Drosophila melanogaster: one gene and its partners. The protein of the gene in region 4 interacts with the protein of the main gene of each other region in a pairwise test. Each region holds a gene or a part of one and is shown on either strand. Other genes may lie near its edges.

What was found.
Region 1: the proteins of CG9040 (region 4) and CG14454 interact in a two-hybrid assay, tested with the Drosophila melanogaster proteins (one large-scale study listed by BioGRID).
Region 2: the proteins of CG9040 (region 4) and Bre1 interact in a two-hybrid assay, tested with the Drosophila melanogaster proteins (one large-scale study listed by BioGRID).
Region 3: the proteins of CG9040 (region 4) and CG9782 interact in a two-hybrid assay, tested with the Drosophila melanogaster proteins (one large-scale study listed by BioGRID).

What each region holds. Positions count from the first base shown.
Region 1 is NT_037436.4:22,691,141-22,694,533, forward strand, and holds CG14454 (uncharacterized protein), read right to left. Parts: upstream 1,389-3,393; 5' UTR 1,373-1,388; coding exon 1,010-1,372; 3' UTR 534-1,009; downstream 1-533. Other genes in the region: CG12546 (uncharacterized protein), read right to left, coding at 2,296-2,649; CG14453 (uncharacterized protein), read left to right, coding at 2,962-3,363.
Region 2 is NT_037436.4:5,789,279-5,795,769, reverse strand, and holds Bre1 (Bre1), read left to right. Parts: upstream 1-1,577; 5' UTR 1,578-1,714; intron 1,715-1,917; 5' UTR 1,918-1,924; coding exon 1,925-3,070; intron 3,071-3,184; coding exon 3,185-4,074; intron 4,075-4,126; coding exon 4,127-5,225; 3' UTR 5,226-5,939; downstream 5,940-6,491. Other genes in the region: Tektin-C (tektin C), read left to right, coding at 1-221, 627-1,206. UniProt on the Drosophila melanogaster protein: E3 ubiquitin-protein ligase that mediates monoubiquitination of 'Lys-117' of histone H2B. H2B 'Lys-117' ubiquitination gives a specific tag for epigenetic transcriptional activation and is also prerequisite for histone H3 'Lys-4' and 'Lys-79' methylation.
Region 3 is NC_004354.4:16,615,542-16,623,339, forward strand, and holds the start of CG9782 (uncharacterized protein), read right to left. Parts: upstream 6,049-7,798; 5' UTR 5,806-6,048; coding exon 5,789-5,805; intron 804-5,788; coding exon 289-803; intron 118-288; coding exon 1-117.
Region 4 is NT_037436.4:13,986,084-13,989,158, reverse strand, and holds CG9040 (uncharacterized protein), read right to left. Parts: upstream 1,282-3,075; 5' UTR 1,218-1,281; coding exon 732-1,217; 3' UTR 533-731; downstream 1-532. Other genes in the region: CG17362 (uncharacterized protein), read right to left, coding at 2,043-2,504.

The DNA of each region.
Region 1 (3,393 bases), 8.7 Mb from region 4:
AGATTTCGCATGCCACAGCAATTTAAAAAAGGGGTTCGGATCTGAAGGAAATAATCTGATGGAAAGAACACATTTTTCTCCGTTTTGTGCTTAGAATCGGCATTGATGGCAGAATGGCAATCTGGAAAATGACAACAATAAGGGTTGGCCCAGCCTAACGTACTTTACCTTTTGGCTGGCGGCATTTTGCTTATTTTCGTTTCCCTCAATTGCTGCCCAGTCTGCGGACGAAGTTCCCTGAAATGCAATTTTGTAGCGAGAAAATCCGATAAAAAATTTCTTCAGCCTTCAGAGATGGCGGCATTCTCTATGCGTCTGATCTGAGCAATTAATGGGCACAAAGAAGCAAATGTGGATTCGAATATTGTTAACAGAATATAACCCCAATCTTGAACTGCTTTCAAGCAGTTATGCAAAAAAAAAAAAGACCAAAAAACATCGATTCCCCCTGTCAGTCTCTATGTTATCCTTGGCTTTTTGAAACGTCTAAGAATATGATGACGTGCCGTCACCAAACCGCACTCTTTATATATGCACACATTCAGCGTAATTTTTATTCACATCCAATAGATTTAAGTATCCAGGGCTTGGGTGGCTCCATCACTTCGTGAACAGCAGCACATTTATGCACAGTTCAAAGACCAAAATGAATATTTTATTTGATTTGATTCCAGGCGGGCTGACTGCTGAGCTTGGCTGCAAGAAAAGCATTTTCGAGCGCTCAAGCTCTGGTATAATAAACTCCAGGGATAGGGCCAATTGTCTGCCGCCTTGGAATTGCGCGGATTCGCCGCTTGTCGGATAGAATATGTAGATGTGCGTGGGAATGCCTGTGGAAACGTCTTAAATGCTCTAATGCCCACAACGAAACCTTGCTCAACGCTGCAGGCATGCCTTCTCAAAAATACCTCCAAAGAAAGAGATCAATCTAATAATCTGATTAGTTGGTGCAGCGCTTATATTTCTATTGAACGGCCGAAGATTCTATCTTAAGGGACCAAGCCCCCACTTATCCCTGAAGCTGATTGATCAGGCGACGCTGCCTCACCAGCAGCTGCTCCATCCTGCGCCTCCTCTTTTCCTGGCGCTGTCTCCGCTCCTGGCGACGACGGCGCTCACGAGCCAGGCGACGACGGCGAGCACGTCTGCGCCTCCTGGCCTCCGCCGAGGAGGAGGAAGAGGAGGCAGTGGTCGTGGTGGATGCGGAGGAGGCAGTGGTGGTAGTGGTGGTGGCGGATGAAGCCGTGGTAGTGGTGGCAGAGGAGTCGGTGGATGTGGTCGCCGTCGAGGATGTAGATGTGCTGCTACTGCCCTCCTGAGCCAGGAGCAGACACAGGAGCACGCTGAGAAGTAGAGCGAATAGGAAGCGCATTTTGTTGTGTCTAATCTAATCTAATCAGACGGCCTTTTATACTCAATACGGGGTAACAATTAAACAAATATCATGTATCGGAAATCGGAAATGTGTGCACAGCCTATCCAGCTCGTCAATGTCTTGGGCTTGTAAGGTCAACAGAGTAAAAGAGTCGATCGATATATTATTGATAGTGAGCCGGGTTTAACTCGTTGAAAACGAGATAAAAAGGTAATATTATAACGCTTCTTACGCCTAATTATGTATGGCGACCACGTCACGTCTGAAGGAAATATTTGGTATAACCTATTTATGTACATTCACATCTTATCTGAGTAAAAATCGCAGCACTTGACGAGTTAAAGGTGTTTTATTTGTTCTTCATTTGAGCTTTGCGTACCCAATTAACAGTTTTGTGCTGTTGCATTTTGGCTTATATCCATTTAAGTTCTCCGAAATTAGAGATTTATTTTCCAAAAAAACAAATACGTGGTTTACATTATTTTTAAACCAAACACAACAAAGATGTGTATAATTATATTAATTTTATACCAGTTACCGATTTCAAAATTCGTCTCGATTTGAAACAGGCTACTCCTGGAATGAGACTAAACTAGATTTGTTGAAAAGTATGTAACAGGCGTTTCCGACCCTATTAATTATACATATGTATATGCTTGATCACTATTACTCCGTCTGTCCGAACGAATGTCTCGACCTCAGCAACTCTAAAAGCTAGAGAGTTGAGAACGTTGAACTCCCTCAAGCCGCTTAAATATGCCACTCCCACACGTTTTTGTGCTCCAATAAAGTAGAATTATCAGAATGTACAATCAAATGTTTTATTATCTTGGCGAACTTGAACAATGAAAGAATTTAGCTTTCACATATTTACAACAGCTTTTCCTAAATTGTCATAAGCCGAGTCTTTCCGAAGACCTTCATCCGCTCAGCTGGTTGATCTGTCGACGTTGATTCTCCAGTTGCTGGCGCAGCCTCTGAGTCCTGCGCTGCCTTCTGCGCTCCCTTCGTTGCCTCTCACGCGCCAGACGACGGCGACGGGCGCGCCTGCGCCTCCTGGCCTCCGCAGAGGAAGAGGATGAGGAGGAGGCAGTGGTCGTGGTGGATGCGGAAGAGGCAGTGGTGGTAGTGGTGGCGGACGAAGCCGTGGTAGTGGTGGCAGAGGAGTCGGTGGTTGTGGTCGTCGTCGAGGATGTAGATGTGCTGCTACTGCCCTCCTGGCTAAGCAGGAGGCATCCTAGGACGGAAAGAACAATTACGATCGAGAAGCGCATGCTGAATGTCTTTGACGCATTTGAGACGTTACGCATGTTTTTATAGCAAATTTGAATAATGGTGGTTTACCAAAAGCGTGTAAGCTAATAGGTCTGCTGGATTGTTAGCTTTAACTAAGGTAAATTTTGGTAATGTTTATTCAGATTGAGAAATTATGTGTGCCGCCATATAGTTTAAACGTTGCTCTTGAGTCTTAACACACATAATAATGTAATAGATTTACGGTAATGAGCGCGTTTCTCAACCAAGTTTCCGGGTTCAACATCATATAAATAGGCTATTCTCCAAATCATAAGATATAACTGCTTAGAATGCGATTCATATTTGTTCTGCTCTTGGCCCTTCTCGGCTGCCTCCTGTTTGCCCAGCAGGGCTGCGAAGCTACGGGAACGAGCACTGAAAGCTCCTCGGATAGTACCAGCGCCTCGGACACCTCCACTACCGCGTCCTCTTCCTCCGACACAACTGAAGCCTCAACGTCTTCCGACACCACCACAGTGGCCTCGTCTGCCACGACTACCACCACTTCTTCGTCCTCGTCCTCGTCGTCGTCCTCCAGCGCGGCCGCCCGTCGTCGCAGGGCCGCCGCCCGTCGTCGTCGCTTGGCCCGCCAACGGCGCAGGCGCCAACAGCGCCAAAGGCGCCAACAGCGCCAAAGGCGCCGCCGCCAACAGCAGCGCAGAAGACGCCAGCAAAGGCAGCGCAGTGGATAGACGATTGCTACAGTCGAAGAGGAGGCTGCT
Region 2 (6,491 bases), 8.2 Mb from region 4:
CTGCGCCGTGAGCTCAAGGTGATCAAGGGCTGTCAGGGATTGGCCGATGCCGCCCTCAAGGAAGCCGAGGAGCAGATCCGCAAGCTGCGCGCCGCCATCTATTTGCTCGATCAGGATCTGGCCGCCAAGGATAAGTCACTGGCCATCGACGAGAAGAACCTGAAGCTCAAGGAGTTCCAGCACGACCTGGCTAAGGGACAGGATTTGTCCAAACAGCATTGGTAGGTTTTTGAAAACTAGGTTGCATGTCAATCACACATGTTGGGGTTTCCTTTTTAAGGAATGATGAAGTGGATTGATTATTAATCTTTTTTCTTTCACTTTTATGCGTAAGTCATTTCGGTGTTCATCAGTACAAGGAGTTTAAAAGGATAAACATTTTACTAGAGTCTTATCCACAAATTCCATTACAAAGTCAAGTAGTTGTTCCCCTTTTCAGTTAGGAATGGAATTGAGGAAGGTCAAACCTAACAATGAAACCGCAGTTTCCTTGGTGATATGGGATAGAGTTGTCCTGAGTCTATTTTAGTGCATTGGAATTAAGTGATTTATTTACAACCACTCAAATCGACCTGATAGTTGCCATGACTCCACCATGCCTTTACCCCCTTCTCTTCCTTACCCAGCCAATTTTCGCTGACCGAGTGGCAGGCGCAGACGTACGAGAATCTGGAGGCCAACGCCAAGGCGCTGGTGTCCGCCGGGCAGCTGCGGGCCTACATCGATTTGCTGCTGAAGCAGGTGTGCGAGGATATGCAGAACCAGACGGACAGGACCAACGAGGCCTTTGAGCGAAGGATCTCGGAGACGAAGCACGTGAAACAGTGTTTGGAGAACAAGCACAAGGACACCATGGATCACATCCATCAGGTGCAGCGCAACATGACCGAGCTGGAGAAGGAGATGATGGACAAGCAGCGGGCCATTACACTGTGCCAGACGCGGCTCAGCAATCGCGCCCATCGTCCTGGCCTGGAGCTGACCTGCGACATGGTCCAGGATGCGCTTTACAACGAACTGCAGGCGCTGAAGGCATCCGTATGCAAGCTCAATCAGAAGCTGAACGAGAACAAGGCATCCATGCGCTACCTGATGCACGTCCAGGTGATGCAGGAGGAGGAGATCAACATCAAGGCGAACACCTGCAAGATCGACGAGGTCGACTGCATGACCCTGCGACAGGCCCTGAAGTACCAAACATTTTAGTCGGGCAGCACTACATCCAGTACAGCACCAGTCCAGTAGTCGCCACACAGCCCAGCCACCAATAATCAAATTAAAATCTAATTATTAGATGCATGTGCATTTCGTGTTCGATCCCAAATTACTTAATAAATTGAAATTCACTTTCGATTTCCAGTTACCAAAACTATGGCTTTTTAATGCATTTTTAAATTGTTCATTTTATTCGAAATAGTTAATCATATATTTCTTTTGCTTAATTTTCGTGAATTTAAATTTCCCGCTTTGAATCTAGTATTTTTAGTTTTACCTGCCTCTATTCGATATTTACCGCTAAGCACAGACATATAGTTATCGATAACGTGAACGCAAATGCGAGGGAGTATTGCAAATAGTGTTACCGTGCTGCTGTGAAAATTCCCAGGTGTGACCGCAGCCCGCATTCGATATTGATGAAGCCAGGCAAAACGTAGAAAAGCAAAAGAAAACCTTAATTAATGTTAAGTTAAAAGTGTATAAACCCGAGATTAAGGTAAGTGGCCCACCACCATCTAGATTTTGAGTACACCGAAGGCATGGCGATGTTGGCAGTGGCGGGAGCGTTACGCCTCTACCGCCACCGCCTCCGCCGCACACGATAAAAAATGGAGTACAGCCACGAATGGGCAAATCAATAATTTTCAACACTCCAATTGTTTTTACAACTGAAATCAGTCCTAATCTTGTTTTCCGCAGTGCAAGGATGTCGAAACGGAGCGCCGACGACGCCACCGGCAGCAGCTGCTTGGTGGCCGCCGCAGCCGCCGGCCAGCCGCCCATCAAGAAGGTGCACTTCGAGCCCCATCTGATTGGGCCGGTGTCCACGCTGGAGGAGATGGACATCAAGGTGCTGGAATTCCAGAACAAGAAGCTAGCACAGCGCATCGAACAGCGGATGCGAACGGAGGCGGAGCTGCGACATCGAATCGAGCAGCTGGAAAAGCGGCAAACGCAGGACGACGCCGTTCTAAACGTGGTCAATCGGTATTGGAATCAGCTGAACGAGGACATACGAGTCCTGCTGCAGCGCTTCGATGCCGAGACGGCCGACGAACTGGAGAACCGGAATGAGAACGAGGTGACCACCTCGTTTCTCGCCCAACTGTCCACCTGGGACAAGGAGGAGCTGGACGAGAAGCTGGCCAACCGCGTCCAAGTGTCCAAAAGGGCGGTCGCCAAGATCGTACAGGTTATTGATAGGTTAATGCAACGCAATGAAAAGATAACTCATGTCTTGAAAGGTGATAGTCTGGCTTCAGCTGGCTCCGGTTCAGGAGCGGGAGCTGGCGGCGAGGAGGAGCAGCAGCAGGCCAGCGGCGATGCGGAGACCACAACGTCATCGGCCGGTGTCCATGCGCTAGAGGAAACCCTGAAGCAAACGCACATCGAGATCATGAGCGAAAATCACAAGCTGCAGAATCTGAATACCTCGCTGCACGAGAAGTTCCACACCATGTCGCTGAAGATGAAGGAGTACCAGGACGCTCATACCGCCAAGGAGACGGAGAACGCCGAACTGAAGAACCAGATAGACGAACTGCAATATGACCTAGAGAAGATCCATTGCCGGAATGATAAGCTGGAGAACCACTTGGCCGAGGCTATTGAAAAGCTGAAGGCCTACCACCAGATTTACGGTGATCCCAATAAGAGCACTAATAGTGCCAAGACACCAACTACCACAGGCAGCGGCGGCGCCACCACCAGCGTTAATAGCCAGCTATTGGAGGAGCTGCAAAAGGAGCTGGAGGAGTACCGCGAACTGGCCAACAACCGACTGCAGGAGCTGGATAAGCTTCACGCCACGCATCGCGAAACCCTGAAGGAGGTGGAGAAGCTTAAAATGGATGTAAGTTTTGAATGAATAATGTATTAGCTTATCTGGAGCATTGCTAATTATAGTTAGTCATTTCGTTTATATTTTCTTTGTATTATACTGATTCATCCTTAAAATCCATTCCAGATACGACAGTTGCCGGAATCGGTAATTGTGGAAACCACGGAGTACAAGTGCCTGCAGAGCCAGTTTTCCGTGCTCTACAACGAGTCCATGCAGATAAAGACCATGCTGGACGAGACCCGAAACCAGCTTCAAACGAGCAAGAACCAGCATCTGCGACAAATCGAAGTGATGGAGAGCGAGGAACTTATTGCCCAGAAGAAGGTGCGCAGCGAGATGATCCAGATGGAGGACGTTTTAGCCCTCATCCGAAAGGAGTACGAAACGCTACGCATTGAGTTCGAGCAGAACATGGCAGCCAACGAGCAGACGGCACCCATCAATCGCGAGATGCGCCACCTGATCACCTCTCTACAAAACCACAATGGCCAACTGAAGGGTGAGGTGCAGCGCTACAAGCGAAAGTACAAGGACACGTCCACGGACAACTTGAAGCTGCGTCAGGAGCTGGCCGATGCACTAGCTACACTCGAAGGCAACAAGTTGCAGGCGGCGACTGGTGCGGCTGGCGAAGAAATCAAGCAGGAGAACTCAACAGGTGTGAAGGAGGAGAACTCCAACAACGTTTCCGCCAGTGGACAAACAAACCAAACAAATTCCGGCAACGATACCAACGTAGCCATCAAGGAGGAGAACCATATCTCGGCTGAAGATGAAGCTGATGACGAGGCCAGTGGTAAGGACGTAAAAGACGGCATCAAGCAGGAGAAGCTCAGTTCTGGAGACGCGGCGGCAGCTGAGAAGAAGGATTCCCCTGGACCCGGAAACTCAACAAGTTCTGCGACCAATTCTGTTCCCGTCAAAAACGAAAAGGATTCCAAGGATGGTGTCAAGGGCAAGGATGTGAAGGCAGTGGAAAGTGAAACGGTGCGCGATCTGAAGGCGCAACTAAAGTAAGTTTGTTCAGCAATTACGATTATCTATTTAACATTGTTTGATTTACAGAAAAGCACTGAACGACCAGAAAGAAATGAAACTCCTGCTGGATATGTACAAAGGCGTATCGAAGGATCAGCGCGACAAGGTCCAGTTGATGGCCACCGAAAAGAAACTGCGCTCCGAGATCGAGGAGCTCCGCCAGCAGCTGAAGAAGCTGCAGGAAAGCAAGCGCGAGGAACGCAAGAAGCTGGCCGACGAGGAGGCGTTACGTAAGATTAAGCAATTGGAGGAGCAGAAGTACGAGCTGCAAAAACAGATGGCCAACCACAAGCCAACGGATAATTCTTGGGGCAGTGGAGCCCCCGGCACAGCGAACTACACGCGACCGTTTGTTGGTTCCCACGAAGAGGAGGCACTGCTGAACGAGATGGAGGTTACCGGCCAGGCGTTCGAGGACATGCAGGAGCAGAACTCCCGGCTCATACAACAGCTGCGTGAGAAGGACGATGCGAACTTTAAGCTAATGTCGGAGCGCATCAAGGCCAACCAGCTGCACAAACTTCTGAGAGAGGAAAAGACGGTGCTGGAGGATCAGATGGCAACGGCGACCACGCAAATCGAAGCCATGCACATTGTGCTGCGAAAGCTGGAGGAGAAGGAACGCAGCCTGCAGGCCACCGTCGCGTCGATTGAGAAAGAGTTGATGCTGCGGCAGCAAGCAATGGAGATGCACAAACGCAAGGCGATTGAATCGGCGCAATCGGCAGCGGACCTCAAGCTGCATCTGGAAAAGTATCACGCGCAAATGAAGGAGGCGCAGCAAGTGGTGGCGGAGAAGACCAGTTCGCTGGAGGCGGAGGCCTACAAGACCAAGCGGCTGCAGGAGGAGCTGGCGCAGTTTAAACGCAAGGCGGAGCGCATGAAGAAGATGGAAATGTCGGGCACCACCATCGACGAGGTGATGATTGAGGAGATCCGCGAATACAAAGAAACGCTCACGTGTCCCTCGTGCAAGGTGAAGCGGAAGGATGCTGTCCTGTCAAAGTGTTTCCACGTCTTCTGCTACGACTGCCTGCGCACTAGATATGAAACGCGGCAGCGGAAGTGTCCCAAATGCAACTGCGCCTTCGGCGCCAACGATTATCATAGGCTATATCTGCAGTAGATAAGCGATAATTTAGATACGTTCCGGTCATGTCCTATTCATACACAAATCCACCCACGCCACACACCACTACCGCACACCCAGCATTCATGCCGGATTATTATTCATTATGCATATATTACCTACGTACTAATATTTGGTTAAGTAGTCTCCGAATAACTTTCCCCCACCAGATTTCCCATGGCAATTATTTGAATTCGTTCATTCTGGCGCCAAGCAAAAGCATCTCATTATGAGTGCCGCGAGATCGTGACGCGGTTTTTATGTAGCTTCTAGTTTTTGTAAATCAAACTATTTTTAAATGATTTCATTTGAAAACTAAATGTACGAACACTAATAAATGGCTAAAACCTATTGTTTAGCATGCCCCGAGTTATTTAGATACCCCATATATACATAAGTGTAGGTTCTTTGTCTTGCATTCAGTTAGCATTATATTAAGCGTATTCTAATCTTAAGTTAAATACTCCTATTGTAATGATCAAACGTAGCATAGATATCAAATGTATAAACTTGGCGGAGAATCCGTTTAAAAGTCGCGCTTTGCTTTGAAGGGCTGCTAACTTGGTTATAATTGATAAGTAATTGTAATAATGTATGATCGAAAATTGTTGTTCAGCTGAACAAAACGAGTTTTGATTGCTTTTTTGTTTGTGTGTAAATGTGTTCGTTCTTTATGTGTACTGTTTAACGAATAAAGAAACTAATGATCAGAAATCGTGACTTTCAATCAATGTTATCTCTCTACATGAAATCCACCTGTTAGAGCTGTTAGCACCCACGCACTCATGTTAATAACATCGATGCTTATCTGAAACCTGTAACCATTGGCGCGCAACAGGTTATCGGGGTTTAAAACGCTATGCTGGTATTTTGTTCTCTACAGAAAGTAGGAAAGTGGCCATAACTATAATTTTATGTATAAACAGTTTGATCATATTCTAAATTTCTATTTTATGGCACAAGAACATAAAACGAATGGTTAATTTAACTCAACTGGTATAAATTGGTAATTATCATTGCATATTTTCTATTTATAAATATTTAATTGCGTCCAACTGGACCAAAGTCTTTTGAGCAATTGTCTTAATTTTAATTTGCATCACACTTTTGCAGGCAAATCTAGTTTAAGTTAGCCGTGTTAGGTTCCAATTGGCCAGAACAGCCCAGTTGGCCAGGCCATTCCCCAGTAATTATGCTACCTAGTATTTATTACAATGGCTCAAGAGCAACGACATTGTCTTGTGCAATTATAATTAACAGCTG
Region 3 (7,798 bases), on a different chromosome or scaffold from region 4:
TGGGGCGCTTGGGCTTCGTCTCCTCCTTCTGCTGCTGCTCCGATTCCTCAGCGGCGGCATCCTCCACCGCCTCCACGGGCGTCGCCTTGGCGGGCTTCGACAGCTTGCGACGGCTCACTGGGGATAGTTAAAGCGTTAGTTAGTAATGGATTTAATAACTTGATATAGAGAGATGATTTTAAAGATTTCTATTCTAGTTTAATGTCAATTATTTCAAAATTAGTAAATTCAGAAGGCACTGCTAGTCCATTTAGAGCAAAATCCTGGCCTAATCCCTGACTAACTTACATGCTGAGTTGCCCTTGTAGCCCTTGGCGGGACTGGATGCTGGGGCGGGTGCTGGCGCGGATGCCTGCTCCTCCTGCTCGCCGGAGTTGGACTCGTCGCTCTTCTTGGCCGGCTTGCTGGGACTGGGCGGCTTCTCGGCACGGTGCTTCTTCGCGTTCGCCTGACGGCGCTTCAGCGAGTTGAGGAAGTCATCGTTGGAGCGGAACGGCCGGATAACCGGGCCGACCTTTTTGGGCGCCTCCGTGGTGGTGGTGGTGGTAGAGCTGGCAAAGGACGCCTCGTCGCCCTCCTCGCCATGATCGCCGTGCTCGCCGGTTTCCTCGTCATACTCCTCGCCCTCGCCGCCGGCATCCGCTTGTGCTGGCGCCGCTGTCGTCGTGGTTGTCACCTTGGCCGCCTTCCCGACCGGACGGCGCAGGGCGGCGATTCTCTTCGCCGGCGAAACGGCGGGACCACCCTCCTCCTGAGCGGAGACCACTCCGTAGCACAGGACGCAGACGATGAAGAGCAGGCAGCTAAGTGGATTAAAAAAAATATAATAAATTATTAATAATTATATAATTATACTGCAATGAAACAAAATTATTTAATAATTCATGCCAATCGTATATAGCTCCTATTTTAAATACTTATGCTTTTACTCATTTAAATACTTTGAAAACTGCCAAAAATAGCTCATTAAAAACCATTGCCAAAAGTGGAACACCATTTAATTACTGAAATAATTTTCAAATGGTTAAAAAGACAAAAAACACACTTCCTTATACTTAAATTAAATTATACTTTAAATAAGTATTCTGAAGGTTTCTTGAAAAATTCGATCTTGCTATCATTAGTCAGTAACATTAGAATTTAAATGCAAGTGCCTATTTGTTGCCATGATTAGATGCTTAAATATTCAAATTTTACATAAATCAATACTGAATTGTTGCCATTAAAATCCCATTGGTTGTTTATACGAACAATGTTTCGTTAATTACGAGTATTATTTACTGGAATAACTTGAATTTCGAAGTCGCTGGTGCAATGTACCGCTCGACTTTCGAATCGATACGAAACGGATCTATTCGAATCGATTCAGTGATGGAATGGCATCTGGTGAATCCCCCGGGCAAGGTTGGCCAACATCTACACGCATCTAATCCTCGTGACTTCCAGCTCGAACCCAACTCTTGGGCGATCGGACGGACGGGACAGGTCTGGTTGGACGGGTTATTCAATACAGAACCTGAAGTCGTAAATATTGTGTACATAAAATACATATGTGCCCGCCCCTACATATACAGTGGAAACTCTTTGAATGATACGACAAGAAATATGGTAATTAACTGAATAAGAAGCATGAAATTATAATAAATTTAGCAAAGTGAAGATCTAAAACAGCGATATTCAATCAACAATAGGCTTATATGCTTGCAAAATCAGCAGAATTTGTTCTCACTTTTAACTCTATTTAGATTTATCACCTGTAAAGGTCGTAAAGAGCTGGATTTGTTTAGGCTAATAATTAATATTTATTAGTAGTTGCCATTCGGGTTTCCTGTAAGATTTGCTATTTTATTTTTGTTTTTTTTTGTTTTTTTTTTGTATACTTTATGTCGCATGCTGACGGAGGACAGAGATGTGCTAACAAATATTAATGTGTAAAGGTCAGACAAACGGGTTTGTTCACTTTCGATTTCGATTTGGATATGGATTTCGCTTTAATGCCGAATTCGAATGCGAATGAATGTTGCTCCGTATCTGTTGTTGTTGTTGTTTCTACTGTATATATATATTTTTTTTTCCTTATTTCTTGCTTTAGTTAACCACTTTTTATTTCTCTTTGCCGCTGGCGACGATGGCGGCGGCTTCAGTGAGTCAAGTCAATTGCTCATATTTTATGCAAAACAAAAGACTTAGGCAGCGAACTCGTTTTGAAATTCTTTCCTATGGCAACGCTTAAGTCGAGTGCTTTGTTGTTATTGCCGCGATGAGGGGGTGGCCAGAGGAGTGGAAGGTTGGGGGAATGGGGTTGGTACGGCTGTGCAGGGCGTTGCGGTGGGTGAGTGGCCAAAGGAAACAGGTGCTTATGCAAAAGGCAGTCAACAGCGCCACGAGTGGGGCGGGGGAAACCAGTTGGTGGCAGCCAGCACCACGCCAGAATATATTTAAGTGCGCGCTCACAGTTGCAGTTGGCTAATAACGGTAAAATGTGCAAGCCAAGTTTTATTTTTAGCCAACACACATAGCACCGTTGTTCATTTTAATTATTTCTACTCGATTATCGTATCGCTCGTTTCATTTGCATTCGAGCATGCTGCATTTCCCCCATTGGGATTTATTTGCTTATGGGGTCAACTGGATTGGCTTTACATGTGGGAATACATGTGGCTGTGGATATCGATATGAACGTGGATGTAGCTATGGAGATGGCCCAGTTAAGCGACAATTATGCAACTGGCAAAAGGTGAAAGGCGTGGGCCCAAGTTGTGGGTGCGTGCCCGGCATCTTCAACATCCCAGCGACTCCAGCGACTTCAGTTCAGTGCCCAGAGGCGTGCCCAGAAATATTTCTCAAGGGGGCTTGGGCCAACGATTTTCTCTTCGGGTCGTTTAGATCTTTCATTTTGAATGGATCGATCACGTTTTGAATAAAGCTTTTCTTCACTGGTTTAGTTTAGTTCGGTTTAGTTTGTTGCTTATAAACTCACTCATTGTTATTAGTTAATTTCCAATATTTATTATACCATTGTTTTATACGCAAGGCAATATTTGGTATTTATGTATCTGTGGTGTGGGGGATCATATGTCAGTTCTGCAAGTGCTGGGTTTTCCATGACATTTGGCTAGGCACTGGGCATAGAGCATCTCGCAACCGGTTCTCCAGCGGATTGGCCAACGGGAACAATGGCAGGGCGCAGACGACGCCAGTGCGCAGTCCACACCCACAAACAATCCGTTGGGTGGACAGGTAGATAGATGGGTAGGCAAATGGATGCGGCTGGTACGGCGGTACACCGGCAGACGGGCACATTTCTGGTCGCCGTGGGCTGTTTTTAGTGCCAGCCGGTGGTTATATAAGCCGACATTAGTTGCGAATTTATGATAAGCAACTCGCGTTGGCGAGAATTTCGTGGATCAGGCGGAACCACTTATTTAATGCAGCCTCATCGTTCGGCCTCATTATCATCCTCATTTAAAGAGCTTGGTCAACAAATTGGTTTGGCTCTTAATTTATTTCATTTCATTTCGCTTTTGTTTGGTCTCCTTTTGTTTTCCTTTCGTTTCGCACTCTGTTTTGTTGGCTTATGCTGCTTATTTTATTTATTTTTTGTTTTTTTGCCTTTTTATTTCGACTTAATGGGCTGACGTCATTGGGCCTACTGCGGATATGAAAGAACTTCCACACTCAAAAGCAATTTATGCAGCATTAAAACGATTGGTTGTCTTCAAGTTTTAAGAAGCGGAAGTTGCTTTGCTTGAATTATGTATGCATTTCGAGTTTTTGTCAAATAAAAGCTGAAGAAAAACTATAAACTGAAGTCTAGAGGAAACCCATTTAAATAATGTCTTAAAATCTGAAACTATTCGGCCAATATTTCTAAATGTAGAGAAACCTTTTCAAAAAGAAAAAATGCCTCTTGAAAGTGTTGATCTTGAGCTGGGCTCAAAGTTTCCGTAACGAAATGCGACACCTGCCCCAGTTAAGCCATGCACGTTTTCTAATTGCCCTGGAGACCTCATTACGCGTCCACTACCAGCATGCACCTTTGCCCCCCCCTACGGGCCACACCCCCCAAGCCCCCGATCAGATAGTCCCCCCCCCCATTTGGACCATATGTATGTGTAGCCACTTATTACGGGCCAAACGTGCACATTCGACACCGAATCGGATTCAAATTCGAATTCAATTTGATTGTAACTGCTTTTATTGCTGCCGCGTTGGATCAAGTTGAAGTCAGCAAGCCAGTTAAATTGGATGGAGGTTGGATGGGGGTTTGGCCTGGTGAGTTGTTCCAAAATTAAGGCGAAAAGAGCCGATTGGCCGCTTGAGGCAAGTGGGTTCAATAACGGTGCATTGTGTCGTTGTTAGTTGGCCAAGTACGTGTTTTGGTTGCTTTGGTACGTGTTTTTACACTACTACTACTACTTCTGGCTGGCTGGCTGGCTGGCTGCATGCCAAATCGATCGAGTTCGCTGCCTAAGTCTTTTGATTTGGCCCAGAGTGGTATTTTGGTGTTTACGTTTTCGGTATCGCATTGAATTCGCTTTGGCCCATGAAGTGCAGCACATATGTATATTACTCATACACACACACACACACACACACACTGCCAATTTTGCGACTCGAAAGTCCTTGAATCTTGAATGTTGAATCTTGAAGGCATCGCCGTGTATTTTCATTTCTTTTATTTATTTAAAATAAATTGCATAATACACCATGCCGGGGAAATGGAACGGAAAATCCTGATTTAGCCGTCTGCCTGCCGACTCACCTACCAACTCCAACTCCACCTCTCTCCTCGCCATTTCCATGTGATTAATTCCATGCATACAACGCTGCGATTAACACATATAATACATACATATATATATGTATATATATATACACACCCCATTCGAGTGGTATTGCATTTATGCAGATATGCGGTCTGTCTGTCAGCTCGCATTAAAAGTGCAACCGTTAATTTATAAAAGACAACCGCGGTAATTAATCCAATATACTTAATTTGCTGCAGCTGCGAAAAGTCGAGGAAAGCGGTGATCTGGTGATCGGGTGATCTGACGATCTGAGGCGTTGAGCGCATCCACTTCGAAAGGAGGAGCCACTTTAGCTGGCGACCTTGAAACATGGAGCAGACCCCATACCATCACCCCCTCTGCTGTCGCCACTGTGATCGCCTTTTACGATCTGAAGCTTTAACTTTTGCCATTTCTTTGCCGGCAAAATGCCAGCCTCACATCCCGTGACAACTTCATCACATCATCATCATCATCATCGTCGTCGTTGCAATGCTGATCATGGTGATCATCGTTATGACCAAACTTTGGCATTTTAGCCACAGCCACGGAGCTCGGTTCAGTTCCAGTTTGAAGCCACGGCATGTTAAAGTTCAAATTGGCATTAAGACGAGCTTACCTACACCTGCATGTGGTTGTGCCCCATAAAGGTTGCAAGTCAACGTGCTACATGCAACGGAGTCGATTGCCAATGCATTTCGACGGTTGGCAACTAAGTTGGGATTTCGAAAATTAAATATATGTACCAAAGAAATTCGAGAAGTTTAGCGTGCGTGGTGGGCTATGCAAATCAAGCTCAAAGTGGTTCGATTAAAATATTCTTTAAATATTTTTAATTATAAAATGTGTCTATTAATAAGTTACTATTTCTGTTCCAATGTCCTGTTCAGTTTTATAACAATCACTTGAAAAAAAAAATACGATCTCTCCTCATCGGTCACGAAACAATATTTAATATTTTGAAATAAATATATACTATATATTTTTGGATCACTCACATGTTGAAGTACTTCATTTTGTCTTGATGTGTGTGCTCGTGCGTGTTTTTCGATGCGTGGGGAGCGGCTTTGGACCAACAACAAAATGAACTCGAAACGCGCGCGTCTTAAACTTAAACTAGAAAAAAAACACTTGTGTATTTATAATTGATTTTATATATTTTTTTTTGAGGGAGGGGGGCGAGGTTATCGGCTTCTCTGCTAGCGAGCGGTACTGACGACTGGCCACGATCACGATCGACTTCTAGAGGCAGACTGAACGTTACTTATGCCGTGTGCACACAGTTAACCTACGGCCATCCAATATTTTGTGGCAGCGACGGTGACTTCGACGGCGGCAGCGGCTGCGCAACAGGTTCAGACCGCCCTAGCCAAACCGCCTGCCTGCACCTCCAACCCGTGGCCACCGCCTCCTCCTCCTCCTCCGCCAGCGACTCCCAGCCCCTCCACTTCCATCGCCGCCTGCGCTCAAAAGCTCTTTTTGCTTTTGCACGGCGCGAAAAATGTGGTAAGAAACGTCGAATTCTAGCCATACTTTCATCTATAGTCATCAATCAAGCAAGGCATGCGAATTCTTCAGAACTTTTCCTTTTTGCCATATAACATATATGCTTAACTTAACTTTGGTCTGTATTTGTATCAAATTACAAATGCAAATTCATCAGGACTTATTTAGTCAACTGTATAAACTATATTTATACATTCAATTGAATGTGTTTAATATATGTATGTATCCATGCTATATATTTTTAGGAATATATAGAAGTTTATAATACCGCAAATTACTTAGTTATGTGATTACAGATTACTGAAGTTTCCTTGCCATCCTTTCCTTTTTTGTGGATGTGAGCAAAAGAATAATTTTTAATTAATTAAAATTAATTTTAAATTAATTTATGCCGACGTACTTCACATATTCCCTGAATTTTTCCACTAACAAAGAAAATTCCTATGCCCCTTCAATGACATCATTGATTAAATTAGTTTGTATAATTTAACATTATCTACCACCCGCCAAGCTGATATTAAAAATGTAATTCCTGATTTTTTCGCCTTGTGTGCCCAAGCGCCTCGATGGTCGATCTGTGCTGGCAGGAGTACTTCTGGTTTTTCGGAGCCAATTTGTCACGGGCCTGGGCTCTGGTTATGACAGGTTTTTCGTATCCAATCCACTCCAATCCCAGCCAAGTCAAGCCAATCCAATCTGAGTCGAGCTGAGTTGAGTTGAATTGCGTTGAGTTGAGCTGAGCGGAGTGGAGCCGACTCAACATTCGCAATTTGTATATTTTATTAATTAATTTATTGATTTTAGGCCAATTGTTGTTTTGCCTCTTTGCCGATCTGGTAAATCCCGATCGAGCTGACCAACCAATCCCCGAAAGCAGCCGTCCCGCCCGTTGGCCAAAAACACACATCTGTGCCGCATGTAAATCGCTAAGTTCGCGTTTAAAAATTAACCAAATCAAGTCAGTTAATTATCAACGATATGCAAATACCCTAGAAAGTGTAATGAAACAAATTTCAATTGACTTTTGGTCACATGTCAAATGAATTTTTCCACATTAAAAGTTTTCCTTAATAAGAAAGTGAAATAAATACAAATATTAATTTACATTAAATATTTTTACAAGCATTAAACTCTTTGAAGACTAAAATCACTGGACCTCAAATGCAAGTTAACAACTGATCTTTGAAAACTTCAATGAATCTCAATTCTATGGCCACCAAATCCAACCGAAATCCATCTGCAAGTCTGCGGGCCCTGAGTCAATTTAAGGTATGGAATGGCACCAAATTAAAAATCCGTAAAAGCTGATAAAGCCAGAAATATTTATGCATATTTTGTGGGTTCGTCGCGGCCTTGAACTGATTGATCAGGAGTGCTGCAGGGGGGGGGGGGGGGTCAGGGGCGGGGTCTGTAGGGTGATGGCTGCATATGTTTAATGGGTGACAAAGCTGATGGGCGCTAATTAATCTTCCACACCCATCAGCTAACGATCGCTTTGAACT
Region 4 (3,075 bases):
TCTGTTGGCAGTGCCACTGCCAGAATGTCGGCATTGAAATCGAAAACAATGGTCCCATTGTGGTGGCCGATGGCGCTACTCAGGCTCCTCCCTTTTCGTTATCCTTTCGCCATTAAACAATTGTCGCCTGTGCGCATCAGTAATTAAGTGTCCCTGTGCATTTATGTCTACTTGTATGAGGGCATAATTACTATTTATAGATGCTATTGGCTTACGTCTAAATAGAAACACAATGCGCCAAAGCGCTGGTAAATGTAAATGTGGGCGCCTAAAAATATGCAGCAAAATGCAGCTGACTTTGGTAATACTACGCCACTAGAACGATTTATACTAATCTGGCTGCAGAGACTTGTATATAAACCACAACAGTTTATTAAATGAATGTTTCGTTCAAAAAATTTTTTTCCTTTTAAGGAATACTTGATTTTTAGTTGGCTTTCGATTTTAAGTATTCAGAAACGATTTGTAATGATTAGTTTCTCTCCGAAGAAAGATCATTTAAGCCCTCAAATACAAAATTGTTGTATATTTTGGATTAATAATGTATATTTTTGGTAAATTACAAAACGTCTCCTTATCTTTGTATTTTTATATGGATTTTTTGTACAGAAAACAACATATGAAATATTCCCAGACTAATGTAGATTCTACAAGATGTCTCTTGGTCCTCTTAAAAGTTTGATGTAAAAACTTTCAGTGACTATGGGGAATTTATCCTTTTTTCGAACTGCTTAGCCTGTGCGTTTGCGTTTGTTGGCGGCAGTATTCGCCTTCTTCTTGGCTGCCACAGGTGTCTTCTTCTTTTGGGCAACAGGTGTTTGCTTCTTGGCAGACGCGGCTGCCGCTACTTTGCGTTTGGGAGCAGCGGTGGTGGTGCGCCTGCGCCGTCTAGCTCTGCGTGCAGCAGTTTTCTTGGCTTTTTCTGCCTTGGTTGGAGTTGAACTGGAGGTCGTTTCGGCGGAGGAACCATCTCCAGAAGTTTCTGAAGAACTACCTGTATCGGAAGCTTCGCCGGAGGAACTGTCCTCGGAGGTACTAGCATCATCTTCTGAGCTACTGGATGCACCAACACCACTTTCCGAACTGGACTCTACATCAGAGTCGTCATAGTAGTCATCACCATAGTCGTAATAATCGTAATAGTCATCGTCAGTGTCATCAGCACCCGTTACGAAGGCAACCAATATGGCCAGGCTTAAAACCAACAGCAGCCTCATCTTTTTTTTTTTGTATCTATAGAGTCAACGAACAGATAGGTAACCTTAGGTATAAACGTCTGAGTTTAAAAGTCTTCAACACTGGGTATTTATAGTTTTTTCTCCTCTGAAGAAATTTATAAATATATAAAGCTTTTTTACATTATTTTTCTATGTACATCTGTAGAATGCAAATATTGGTTTTTTAATTCATCGTCTTAATTTTCGGTGGCTTAGAGCACCTGTGTGTGCTGCTTGTATTTGTTTAACATTTTTCGATTGCTATATGTTGAAATTATGAAATTATATTTTGTGTTAGAGCACGAAAAAGTAATATAAACTCTTTTATATTAAAAGAGCCAAGGTCACAAATGTCTTATCTGGATTTTTGAACAATTTGTCTATGGTTTACGCGTTAGGCGACCTGCTAGTAGTTTTATAGAAAAAATAGATATGACATTAAACGTCTTTAAAATTATATAATTTTTCAAGTATATGCGGTGTATGTTTTTGTTTATCAAAAATATATTTATTTACAAATGAGGGAAAAAACACGTGCCGATAAAAACTTATGTAGAATGTTTTCTTGTCTTTTGAACATTGGGTGAAATAGTTAAATATATTTCAAAATTTCTGTGATATTCAAGTTTTGTACAAAATTCATAATAATAAACACCCATACCCAACAACCACATTCTTGGTAAATATCATTATCATTATTATATATTAATTCAAAACCTAACTTATAAACGTCATAGAAAAAAATCTTGGTAATTTTGGGAACAAATTTTTTTGGTATAATTTTTTATTTTTATAATTTGTAGCTACGAATATAATAAACTGGATTTATCCAGAGCGCCTACGTTTGTTGGGTCCAGCATTTGCCCGCTTCTTGGCGGCAACAGGTGTTCGCTTCTTAGCCGCCTTCTTGTTATTACTTTTCTTGGCAGCGGCGGCATTGCGACGTTTAGCTGCTGCCTTATTCTTGTTGTTCCTGTTGTTTTTCCTGGCACCAGCTCTTTTGTTCTTTTTGACAACTGGAGCAGCAGTTGGTGCTTCCGTAACATCGCTAGAGCCCTCGTAGTCGTCATAGGAATCGACGTCCCCAGAGTCGTTTCCACTGTCGACGTCAGTGGAGCTATCACTAGTGTCTCCAGAATCAGCAGTGTTGTCTTCGGAGCTACCGGCAGTATCGTTGTCATCAGCGTAATCGTAAGAGTAATCTCCATCGTCAGACGAATCAGTTGTCTGGGCCACAGCCACGTGGGCTACGAAGACTGCCAATGCCAGAACCAGAAGAAGTTTCATTTTCGTTTTGGGGAGATTTTGTGATCTAAACGAAGAAAGCTCAATCCTCTGGTTTATATACCAACATATCAGTCGAATCTCGTTTTTCATGAATCAAAAGTAAATATGATTAAACAAACACACATTCGTTTACTTTGGGCCAGCTGTGTAGATGTTTTTTTGATTATCAATTTGTTTTAGAAATTTTAGATAATAATATTAGCCCCTGGTGGTTACCTGTAAATACTTTTATAAATCAAGTAGATATATAACGTTTTATGTTGTGGAATAAAATAATATATTGTTTGTCGTCTACAATATAAAACGAACGTTTATAGATCCACTTTATCTACACGCAGTTAAAATTGCGTTCACTTTCAGAAAACGTTTTCAAACGCGTAATCTACGTGATTATTTAATGTGATGGCACGCACTACTCATATTATTTATGGTTATTTTAGTGAAAGCACAAATTTATATGTTTGACCTTTTTCCGTGCAATTTCAGCTCGGGATAACGAGCCGCGGCAGACCGAAAGAGGACCAACCCAGATTCGCAAAGTTCGTGCCATAAATCTGCAGTTTGCATGGAA